Regions from separate parts of the Mus musculus genome. Here region 2 is reported to be linked to region 1. Evidence: microRNA targets listed by miRTarBase, many of them from high-throughput screens and not tested one by one. Region 1 holds a microRNA gene; the other region holds the end of a gene's coding sequence.

Region 1 (5,241 bases):
CTGACACCTCCCACCTGTAACTCCCTGTGCTCTCTTTATGGGTGGGTAGAGTCAATGGGGGGGGGCAACCCTGGAGTATTACTCTGTCCCCTGACATTGGGCTCTGAAGAGTTTTGAGGGGCCCTGGAAGAAGGGAGTTGGGGTGTTGGCTCAGGAGGGGTTAAAAACTGGGAGGCGGGAGGGGGGCTGGGCCAAGGGGTGGAGAAAAGAGGAGGAGGCCTTAAGCATAGAACTGGCCAGAGAGACCCAAGGGATAGTCAGGGACGGGCAGACATGCAGCTAGGGTTCTGGGGCCTGGACAGGGGCAGCCAGGCCCTGTGACGGGAAGACCCCGAGCTCCGGCCCGGGGAGGGGCCATGGTGTTGCCTGCCCAACATGTCAGCCGAAGTGCGGCTGAGGCAGCTCCAGCAGCTGGTGCTGGACCCAGGCTTCCTGGGACTGGAGCCCCTGCTCGACCTTCTCCTGGGCGTCCACCAGGAGCTGGGTGCCTCTCACCTAGCCCAGGACAAGTATGTGGCCGACTTCTTGCAGTGGGGTGAGTATGGATAGGAAGCCTGGGGTTGGGTGCAAGGCAGAGGTGGGTCTACAGGGCAAGAATGGGCTATGGAGGGGCAGGAGGGCCTGGAAAGGGCTTTTTGTAAGGGAGCCAAGCAGAGCTCATGACCTGACCCCAAGCTCCCCTGGTGAGGCACCAGGGTCAGTGAGGCCACCTATGACTCAGCCAGTGCAGGCTGGGGTGGGCATAGCCTCCTGCTATCTCAGCACCCACACTAGGACCTGGCAGCTTTCTCTTTTAGGACCCTTGGCTCCTCAAACTGGCTTCATAGCCCTCCCCAGTTTCCCAGAGTGTGGGGAGGGACAGCGTGGGGCAGCTGCCAGGGTGTGGCCCATAGGCAGGTGTTTGGCGTCTGCCTCCCCAGCTGCCCTGACAGGTGTCCAGGAGCTATGAGGGCACTGTGACTCACAGAGGCCCTGGGGGAGAACCAGCCCGGCAGACAGGCGCCACCGAGCACCCTTTCTGTTCCCCAAATTAAGAGGAAGGAACAACTTCAGCTTCTGAGTGTGCCCATCCCTAGCACTCTGATCCCGCCCAGCCTTTGTGGGCCAGATTGGTCATCCCTCCTGGCTTCTCATCTGCTTTTGTGGTTCTAGCTCAAGACCTCTAATTCCTCTGCTGACTTAAATGCCCTTCCCCAGAGGTCTTCTCAGGCCTAGTGGACAAGCTTGGAGCCTTATCTGCTCCTGCCCAACATTGAGCCAAAGCTCCAGCTTACCCCAGCTTCCTTACAAGTAACGACCTGTTTTGTTGCTCTGTGCCTATTATTAAGGGTCCAGGTCTTGATTCTTGGCTGTCTGCCCATGTGTGTGACCCTAGTGCATTCTCCCCTCCTCCCCCGTTTCACAGATGGAAAGGTTGAGGCCATCGGTTAGACTGCTAAGCCTGTGAAAGACTTTTTCTCCTCTCCAGTCTTTAGTGTCTCCCTCAACCTTTCTTTTGAAGGATGGGGTTTGGGCTGGCAGGGTAAACTGAGAACTGGGGTGGGGGCAGGGGGTCTGACCCTCTGGGAAGGAGCAGTCCTTTTGTGGCCTGAGCAGCATCCTGTGGGCCCCTCCCCTGCCAGGCCTGGGCGGGGGAGGGGGCCTGGGTTCCCGCTGCCTTAAAAGGGCTCAACGCCTTGGCTCTCTCCTCCTCCCCACCCCCCAGCCTTGGCCCTAGCTGTATCTTCCCCGGCTGCCCACTTTCCCAAACCCCTTTCTTCTCTGTGACCCCATCTCCCCGCTTCCCCACACGTCCCTCCTCCATCCTTACTCCCCGGCCTTAGAACTTCCCTAAGGGAGATCTGACCTCCCTCTGCCCACCCCGCACCCCCAGTCGCCAGCCTCAGACCTAGCTGCTCTCCCCTCTGGCTGAACCACCCTAGCACAGGACCTTATACCCTGGAGCTTTGGTTATAAGAAGACTCTCCTTCACCCTTTGGAAACCAAGAAAGCCCTTCCAACAGTGTCCAGGATGCTGGAGGGCAGTGACCCTCCCCCACTTCTTCTTCGTGCTGGCTGTGCTGACACAGCTCCAGTTCGAGGTTGTGGCCCGAGACATTAAGTGAGAGCCCCGGGTGACCTGACTTAGCACCCTGATCATCACATGGGAGTGAAAGGCCTGATGCGCCAGCTTCTCCCACTGCCTCCCTTTCTGCCCTGCAACCCTGTGGAAACAGGCAGTTCTGGGTCCCACAAACATCACAGAGGTTTTGAAAGCAGAATCCTAAAGCCGATTTAAGGGGCAGAAGGAAGGAGGCTATAAAGTCACTACCCTTACCGCTAGTGTTCTGATGACCCTTGGTTCTTCTTCCCCCACCCCCGCCCAGTGGAGCCCATTGCAGCAAGGCTTAAGGAGGTCCGACTGCAGAGGGATGATTTTGAGATTTTGAAGGTGATCGGGCGTGGGGCGTTCAGCGAGGTGAGTCTTCAGTGGCCTGGGAATGGAACTTTACTTGATGTGGGTGGGGCATAACAGCTGGGGCAGAGCCTTAAAAATTGATGAATGAGCTTGAATTTAAGGCTGGAGGGGTGGGGGCGGAGCTTGTGGTCAGTGGGCGGTGTGCACGTGAGGGCGGGGCTAAGGTTGGGTGGAGATAAGGGTGGAGTCCTGTCTGGGTGAGCCTTGCTGGTTTTCCCTGCCACCTCTTGCTGTCATCTCGGTTCCGTATTTAGGTAGCGGTGGTGAAGATGAAACAGACGGGCCAAGTGTATGCCATGAAGATTATGAATAAGTGGGACATGCTGAAGAGAGGCGAGGTGAGGGCCAGGGATTAGGGCAGCGCCCTCATCTCTCCAACTCACCTCCTGTAGCTTCTCTCCTACCTCACAGGTGTCGTGCTTCCGGGAAGAAAGGGATGTATTAGTGAAAGGGGACCGGCGCTGGATCACACAGCTGCACTTTGCCTTCCAGGATGAGAACTACCTGGTAAGCTCCGGGTTCAGGTGACTAGGAAAGAGTGACAGTTACATCGCCCCAAGTCAAGAAGGCTGGAGAAGGGAGAAGCTGCTGTAGATCGGGGGGGTGGGGGTGGGGGGGACACACACAGGGGATGGGGGACGGGGGTAGGATTGTGTCTCAAGTATAGGAGAGACCTTCCTTGAGACAGGAGTGATATCTGGTTTGGCCTTTGGATGGGGCGCTCTCTCACTGTGCGGGGGTCCTCTGTGCTTGGGAACGGGGTGTCTTTGGGAGTCTTGGGGGCTACCAAACCCCTGTGACACACCCGCTCCCAGTACCTGGTCATGGAATACTACGTGGGCGGGGACCTGCTAACGCTGCTGAGCAAGTTTGGGGAGCGGATCCCCGCCGAGATGGCTCGCTTCTACCTGGCCGAGATTGTCATGGCCATAGACTCCGTGCACCGGCTGGGCTACGTGCACAGGTGGGCGTGGCGGGGCCCTTGGAGGGTTAGCAGAATTTGTGTGGGAAGGAAGGGTACCTGAAGGTCAGATCCCATTGGGGACAGAATCGGGGTCTAGAATTGTAGAATCCTGGGTGGGGTGGAAGTGGATCGAGCTGACGGGCCCTAAGAGGGAAGGTTTTCAAGAAAGCACACTTTCCCTCTTCTCTCTATGCACAGGGACATCAAACCAGATAACATTCTGCTGGACCGATGTGGGCACATTCGCCTGGCAGACTTCGGCTCCTGCCTCAAACTGCAGCCTGATGGAATGGTAAGAAGAGCCTGGCGAAACTCTCCTCATTGGTGAAGGACCGGATTAGGGGGCGGGGCTGGGTTGAGGAGCAGGAGGGGAGCTTGGTCTGGGATGTCCTGCGCACCATATTTGGACAGTCAAGGGAAAGGTTTTAAGCATTCAGGTCTGATTGGCACAGGTGAGGTCGCTGGTGGCTGTGGGCACCCCGGACTACCTGTCTCCTGAGATTCTGCAGGCCGTTGGTGGAGGGCCTGGGGCAGGCAGCTACGGGCCAGAGTGTGACTGGTGGGCACTGGGCGTGTTCGCCTATGAGATGTTCTATGGGCAGACCCCCTTCTACGCGGACTCCACAGCCGAGACATATGCCAAGATTGTGCACTACAGGGTGAGCACAAGCACCATGCAGGGGGGCTGACTTAGTGGCTTGTGCTCCCAGACTGTCTTTTTTAAAAGATATTTATTTATATGTGTGTGTTTTCTGTGTATGTATATCTGTGCACTGAGTAGGTGTGCGAAGGTCAGAGGGCATGGGATCCCCTGGAACTGGAGTCACAGACTATTGTGTGCTGCCATGCTGAGTGCTGGGAAACAGAACCTTGATCACTCTGCAAGAGCAGCCAGTGCACTGAAACGACAGAGCCAGCTCTGCAGCCCAGGGCTAACTGTTGCTTTTCTTTCTAAATAGGAACACTTGTCGCTGCCGCTGGCAGACACAGTTGTCCCCGAGGAAGCTCAGGACCTCATTCGTGGGCTGCTGTGTCCTGCTGAGATAAGGCTAGGTCGAGGTGGGGCAGGTGATTTCCAGAAACATCCTTTCTTCTTTGGCCTTGATTGGGAGGGTCTCCGAGACAGTGTACCCCCCTTTACACCAGACTTCGAGGGTGCCACGGACACATGCAATTTCGATGTGGTGGAGGACCGGCTCACTGCCATGGTGAGCGGGGGCGGGGTACGTACCTGCAGTTCCTGATCCGTTGAGGGGACTTCCCTAGCCTCTTCCATAAAATTGGGGTGATTGGCCAGGTGTGGTGGTGCATACCTTTAATCGTAGAACTTCATAGGCAGAGGCAGGTGGCTCTCTGGTAAATCAAGGCCATCTTGGTCTACATAGTGACTTCTAGGCCAGTCAGGAGTGAGATCCTCCCTTGAAAAATAAAAAAGGGGGTGTTGACCTTCCTGGGTCCCAAATTATTATCCTAGAGCACTGCTATGTATCCACTCAGGTATGAGGACACACAGGTGACCAGTCCCAAAGACAGTGAGTGAGGCCTCACTCTTGGCAGTACTAAAATTGATTGTAGGGGGCTGGGCTCTTGACCCAGCCTGGAAAGTGCTGGAGGGCTTCCTGGAGGAGGAGACTAGCTGAGCCCAGAAGGATGCAGGAGATCCTTTCTCGGGTGAGTGCTCTCAGCATTTTAACAAGCTCTAGGCCCTGCAGAGAGAAGTCTGGTGTGGGCAGAGCCCCAATAGAAAGCAACAAGATAGAAGAGAAAATGGTGGAGTTTGTTAGTGGGGGCAGTTATGCCGTGAACATAGAGGGGCGAA
Region 2 (5,241 bases), not on the chromosome of region 1:
CAGTCCCTCCCCTTGTAGAGCCTTGACCCGGAACCTTGACCCGGTAGAGGACATAGCTGTAACGGGATATGGGCAGGGTAGGGTAAGTGGAAGCTTCTAGTTTTCAGGTACCAGTTACCAGCATTGCTTCTGCTGCAGGGAGGCCTCTTCTGAGCCCTCCTCAGTATCCGGACTCTAGAGAGGGGTCTAGATTAGCATGGGAAGGGAGGTGGGGCACAGGGCTGCCCCTCTAACTTGAGGTTTTGCTGCCCTGCGTATCTGTCTATAAGAGCAACCCTCCCTCCTGTCTCTGGCCTCTGTAGTCCTTCCTGACCATCCCTCTTTTTGCCTGCAGATCATTGGGCAGGTATATGCGGATCCTGATTGCCTGCCCCGCACACTGGACTTTGGCCTCAATGTTAAGCTTTTCTGGGAGAAGTTTGTCCCAACAGACTGTCCCCCAGCCTTCTTCCCCCTGGCTGCTATCTGCTGCAAACTAGAGCCTGAAAGCAGGTTGGTGTCTCACCTCTTCCTCCCACCTTACAGCACTCTGGCCCGAGACGCTTGCTTTAGATCAACCCCTGCCCTTCCCTGGATGAGCAGTTGAATCCTTGAGCGCCAGAGTAAACTGCTAAACCACTCAAGCCCCTGACATCTCCGACAGCCACATTAGGGAACAGGGGCAGCTCAGAAGCAAGGGGGCTGGACAAGATAGAAGAGCAGTGGGGTTTGGTTTTGTTTTGTTTTTAAAGAAAATCTGGGCACGGTGTGTGGATCCACAATAGAATGTGTGGAATGAATGGGGCCATGGGTTCAGTTCTCAGCTCTGGATGCTCACGTCTGTGTGTCCCTTCTCTCTGCAGACCGGCATTCTCAAAGCTGGAGGACTCGTTCGAGGCGCTCTCCCTGTTCTTGGGGGAGCTGGCCATCCCACTGCCAGCAGAGCTGGAAGACCTGGACCACACTGTGAGCATGGAGTATGGCCTAACCCGGGACTCGCCACCCTAGCCCTGGTCCCTCCCCCTGCAGGGGGACATTCCACAGCCAGCATTGCCCCCTCTGCACGCTGTCCTTGCTGTGAGCAGGACTGCCTAGGTTTCCTGTGGATTGAAGGCTTGCTTAGAGGCACAACAAGCCATCCCTACTACCTCCCCAGGAGGCACTTGGGTGCAGGGAAAAAAATTCTCCGCAAGTTTTGGGGGCCTAGTTTCTATCTGTAAATCCAACACTCACCTGAAAGCTGTGAAGAGGATAAAAGAGCCTGGATTATAGACCAAGAGTCTGTTACTCGGGACTACTTGGGACCTCTGTGGATTGAGATTCTGGGAGGCTGTAGCTTTACACTAATCAACATGATCTGGGCCTGCTGGGCAAGATGACGGAGTGAACTGGCCTGAGGGCTCTGGAGTCTGGCTCAGCAAGGTGCAGGACTTGAAGCGGTAGTATGAGTTACAGAAACGGGGAACCTTCAAAGCATGTGAAATGACAGTAGCGATTTCTCCTCCATCCCAGGCCATGCCCTTTGGAGCAGGTTTTAAAGAGTCTTAGTATGTGGTAAAACCTACAGAATCCAACAAAGGACTGGTCTCTGCTCACAGCCCAGGGACCACATCAGTGCATGGGGAGTTTCCACTTCAGCATCCTGTCTCAACAAGCAGTCACTCACAAAAACACCAAAGAAACTGGGGCTGCAAACAGGCCCTGCCCTCTAAAAGCCCTGTATCCAGGCTGGTGGGCTCAGTCAAAAGCTCAGCATGTTGCCTAACAGTACATGGGTTCTGGATGCCAGCCTGGTTTGCCTCAGACTTTGGGTCTAAGCAGAGAGAAGGGGGTCCCATCAATTTCTTTGCACCCTTGTGGCAGCTACTGCACATCCTCTAGAATGTCTGGGCCAGGCAGCAATGTGGGACAGGCATTGGTGGCTGCTGAGTCCCCAAACTGAGATAGGAAAAGAACACCCTGAGCTGGGCCTTGTAGATTCTACCTCTTTTTGTTGCTGGTCCAGCTTGCTTCCTGAGCCACACTCGAGGGCCATGGGCATGGGCAACTATGGGGGCACTTTCTACCCCTGGCTGCCAGGTGTCCAGGGACTCTGTAGCTCACCAAGGTTTGTCATCTAAGCGGGAGCTCACGCCATGTTTAACAAATTGGGAATGGGTTTGGTTATAAATACATGTGATGGGTTGTACTGGTGGGGGGATTCAGGAAGAGTGGTTGCTGTTATTAGCTTTTATCTCTGGGGTGATATGTGAGATATTTTGTACATAGACGAAATGAATTATGGGATGGGAAGTCTTTGGCCACTTTTCTTGCTGTGTAGACTGTACTTGCGTGTGGAGTTTGCACACTTGCTGCAGAGGGAATCCTGAACTCCCGATGGGCATGGTTCAGCGTCCTTGACTGAGTATGCTTGCACTGTCCCCAGCAAGTGTGGGAGTGGGGCCTGCACTAGGCCATGAAGCAGACTAAATAAATTAAGCAGTTAACATAGAGATGACAGAGAGTGCCAAAGTGACTTAGGGCCTGACTTAAACACGGAGGACAGGATGGATAATCACGGTCTGACCAGGGTTTGGTTCCCAGCACCCACGTGGTGGCTCTCTAACATCTGTACGTCCAGTTCTAGGGGTACTCTACCTCATCTCACCTCTGTGGGCTCCTGCACATACATGGTACACAGACATGCTCTGGGTACATAAATTCCCATTTTAAAGTGTTTTAAAGAAACATGGTCTGCTGGCCACTTTCATATAACTTACCAGGAAATTCTGTCTCAAGTTTAATCCCCTCACCTGGACAACAACCCTTCAGAGATCATATGCATCCACCGGAGCCCCTCTGAGGAGCAGCCGATGACCTCATCTTAGACCCGCAAAGCTATCAGGTTCTCAGCTGCTTACCCAGTCCTCAGGGGCCTTCTGCTTCCAAAGCTGTTGCACCGACCACTGGCCCAATAATGCCAATGTTTGGTAAGATCCTGGGCACCAAAGAAAGAGAAAAAGAAGCCCCACAGCCTCTGCCAAGTGTGGAAGTGTGTGTTTATAAGTCTACACGCAAGATACAGAGGCTGGGGAACCAAGTTCAAGGCCAGCCTAAGTCTGTCGAGTGAATTTTGGGCCAGCTATGGCTAAAGCACTGAAAGCCAGGTCTAATAGCTTTGTGGCCCTAAAATGAAGTCATTTTGTATATAAACGTAAAGATAATGTCTCCTAAGCGTCCTGTGGTAGAAGACTTTAGATTAAGAGAATGTATGTTTGGCAGTGTTGGTGGCACACACCTTTAGTCCCAGCAGAGGCAGGTGTATCTGAGGCCAGCCTGAGCCATTACACAGAGAAACCAAGAATGGAATAAAATACAGTCCCTAGTAAACACCTCATCTGAGGTTCTCAGTGCTGGGCTACAACTCAATCTGCTGCTGAGGTCAACTAATAAAACTTAGACACCAGTCCTGCACCTTCCCGGCCCTTCTAACCCAGGGCACAACCTACAAGAGCCACCAAGCCCCAGGCAGCCCACCTACCTTTCTGTCCCTTGGCTGCTACAGAATTGTCAACTGCCCCTTTGTCTCTAACCCCCAGCAAAGGCTGTTGAGAGGGTTTATCCTAAAACTTCCCTGCTCTACCTTGGAAAGAAACTGAAGGGCTTCAACGTTAAGATAGTCATGGTGACCTTGACGTCCCGATTCTAACAACTCAGTGATCACGATCTCCCAGGGGCTGGGAAGTGACCAAGAAGGCAAAGGTATCCGGGGAGCATCCTCATCACCACAAAAAAGGTGCAAGGTAAAACCATGTCTTGTGTTTATATAAGTCAAAAGCAAAACAAATTGCCATAGTTCATACACAGGTGTCAGAATGAGGTATATAAAACATACAGAGAAATACTTTCATAGGAAAGTAGGAAGTAGTACTGCTCTCTTCCCACAGTCACCACCACCATGGGAACCCTGAGATCCAGGCCCCCTCAACAAATGGCTTATGAGAGCAGCCTGGTGAAGCCTGCTCCCAGTGTTGGGAGTGGAAGGGCTCCTGGCTGGGGACACTGCCAAGGCCAGGAGGACACTGGGAAGCTGCTTTGCCCTTTCTGGAACTCCTTCAGGTCTTTCGCAGTGGTGCAGTGATTGTTTTGTACCAGTTAATCTTAACCCTATGGAAGGAACTGGCCTGCAAGCCCGGCAGGACTACAACGCAAGCCCCAGCATGTTACCAACCTTCTGGCTTGGTCTCCAAGCTCACCTTTCAGCTGCGGGTCACCACACTCTCAAGTGTGTAATTCCCATGAATTGGCTATTTTCTTATCAGCGCAAAATTGAGAGGTTCCTCTATCCAGCCCCCAAAAGACAGTCTGGATATTCTGGTCTGCTGCATGAGGCTGAAGGCAGAAGCGGGTCCTTCACCTAAGTGGAAAGTTTAGTGCAATTCTTCCCTTTCCTTACGAGATAGGAAGAGACCCTCGGGCCCAGGCCTATCCCACAGTTGTCAAGGCACATCGCTGCCAGCAAGCAGATTCATTTCAGGTTCTTAGAAGTCAGAAGGGACTTTCATCCTAAATATTTCTTTCATTTATATATATATAGTTTTTTTTATGCTTGACCTTAACTAGGAATAACAGTATATGCCACTCAAGTTCCTGGATGACGAATGGAAAAGCAGAGACTGAGGCCACCTTCTTCAGTATACAGGACAGAAGAGCTTTAGCCAGCTCCCAGTCTTTCCTTGGCCCAGGCAATGTGGAAGCCCTTATTTGCCACAGCACCACTGTGGCTACTGTGCCAGTCTCTCTCCGCAGGCAAATTCTGCTCCAAGGGATAGAAAAGGAGCGTTGATAGGACCCTACCCAGCCTCCTCACCCTCACCCATAATGCTACCTGCATCTTCTTGTGTCATGAGGAGTCACATTCCCCCCAAAAGAAAAATGGGATAAGGTTTTAACCACAACACAAAATGTAGCTCCTCCCAACTGCAGGAGGGTGGCCTGTCCTGTACCAGTGTTTACATGGGCACCTGCCCACTGAAGGGGCTCAGGCCCCAGGGGTGCCAGCCTGGCCCGTGAGGAGGGTGCTGCCCTCCTGCACGTCAGCAGGAGTCTGGTTGCTGTGCACAATGATGGTGTTTTCATCCACGGTCTCACAGGTGGGGTTTGTGAAGGCAGACAGGGGCAAGGTGATTCGCTGCATCTCCCTCTCACACGCTTTCTTCTCATGTTGCTCTTTCAAGTCCTTCCCCCTGTCAGGAAAAGAAAGCATCAGGTTGAGCTTCTACC

What was found. The annotated mature microRNA mmu-miR-3100-5p reads UUGGGAACGGGGUGUCUUUGGGA and lies in region 1 at 3,209-3,231, shown strand. An mRNA with a match to its seed (bases 2 to 7 or 8) in the 3' UTR can be bound and repressed. Matches are read on the target gene's strand: a 7mer-m8 pairs with bases 2 to 8, a 7mer-A1 pairs with bases 2 to 7 and ends in A, and an 8mer does both.
Region 2: the mRNA of Limk2 is a reported target of mmu-miR-3100-5p. Seed matches in the 3' UTR shown: 7mer-m8 at 2,555-2,561.

What each region holds. Positions count from the first base shown.
Region 1 is chr7:19,083,620-19,088,860 of GRCm38, forward strand. It overlaps Mir3100 (microRNA 3100), which reads left to right and starts at 3,209; the gene lies at 3,209-3,273. It overlaps Dmpk (dystrophia myotonica-protein kinase), which reads left to right and starts at 239. Exons shown (of 15, transcript NM_001379257.1): 1 at 239-535; 2 at 2,367-2,458; 3 at 2,713-2,796; 4 at 2,870-2,965; 5 at 3,274-3,422; 6 at 3,621-3,714; 7 at 3,875-4,081; 8 at 4,382-4,645. The coding sequence starts at 376.
Region 2 is chr11:3,341,486-3,346,726 of GRCm38, reverse strand. It overlaps Limk2 (LIM motif-containing protein kinase 2), which reads left to right. Exons shown (of 16, transcript NM_010718.4): 15 at 335-492; 16 at 843-3,430. The coding sequence ends at 987. Pik3ip1 (phosphoinositide-3-kinase interacting protein 1) reads right to left here. Exons shown (of 6, transcript NM_178149.4): 6 at 3,756-5,204. The coding sequence ends at 5,000. Among named protein-coding and RNA genes, the nearest start is that of Gm12592, 13 kb to the right of the region's middle.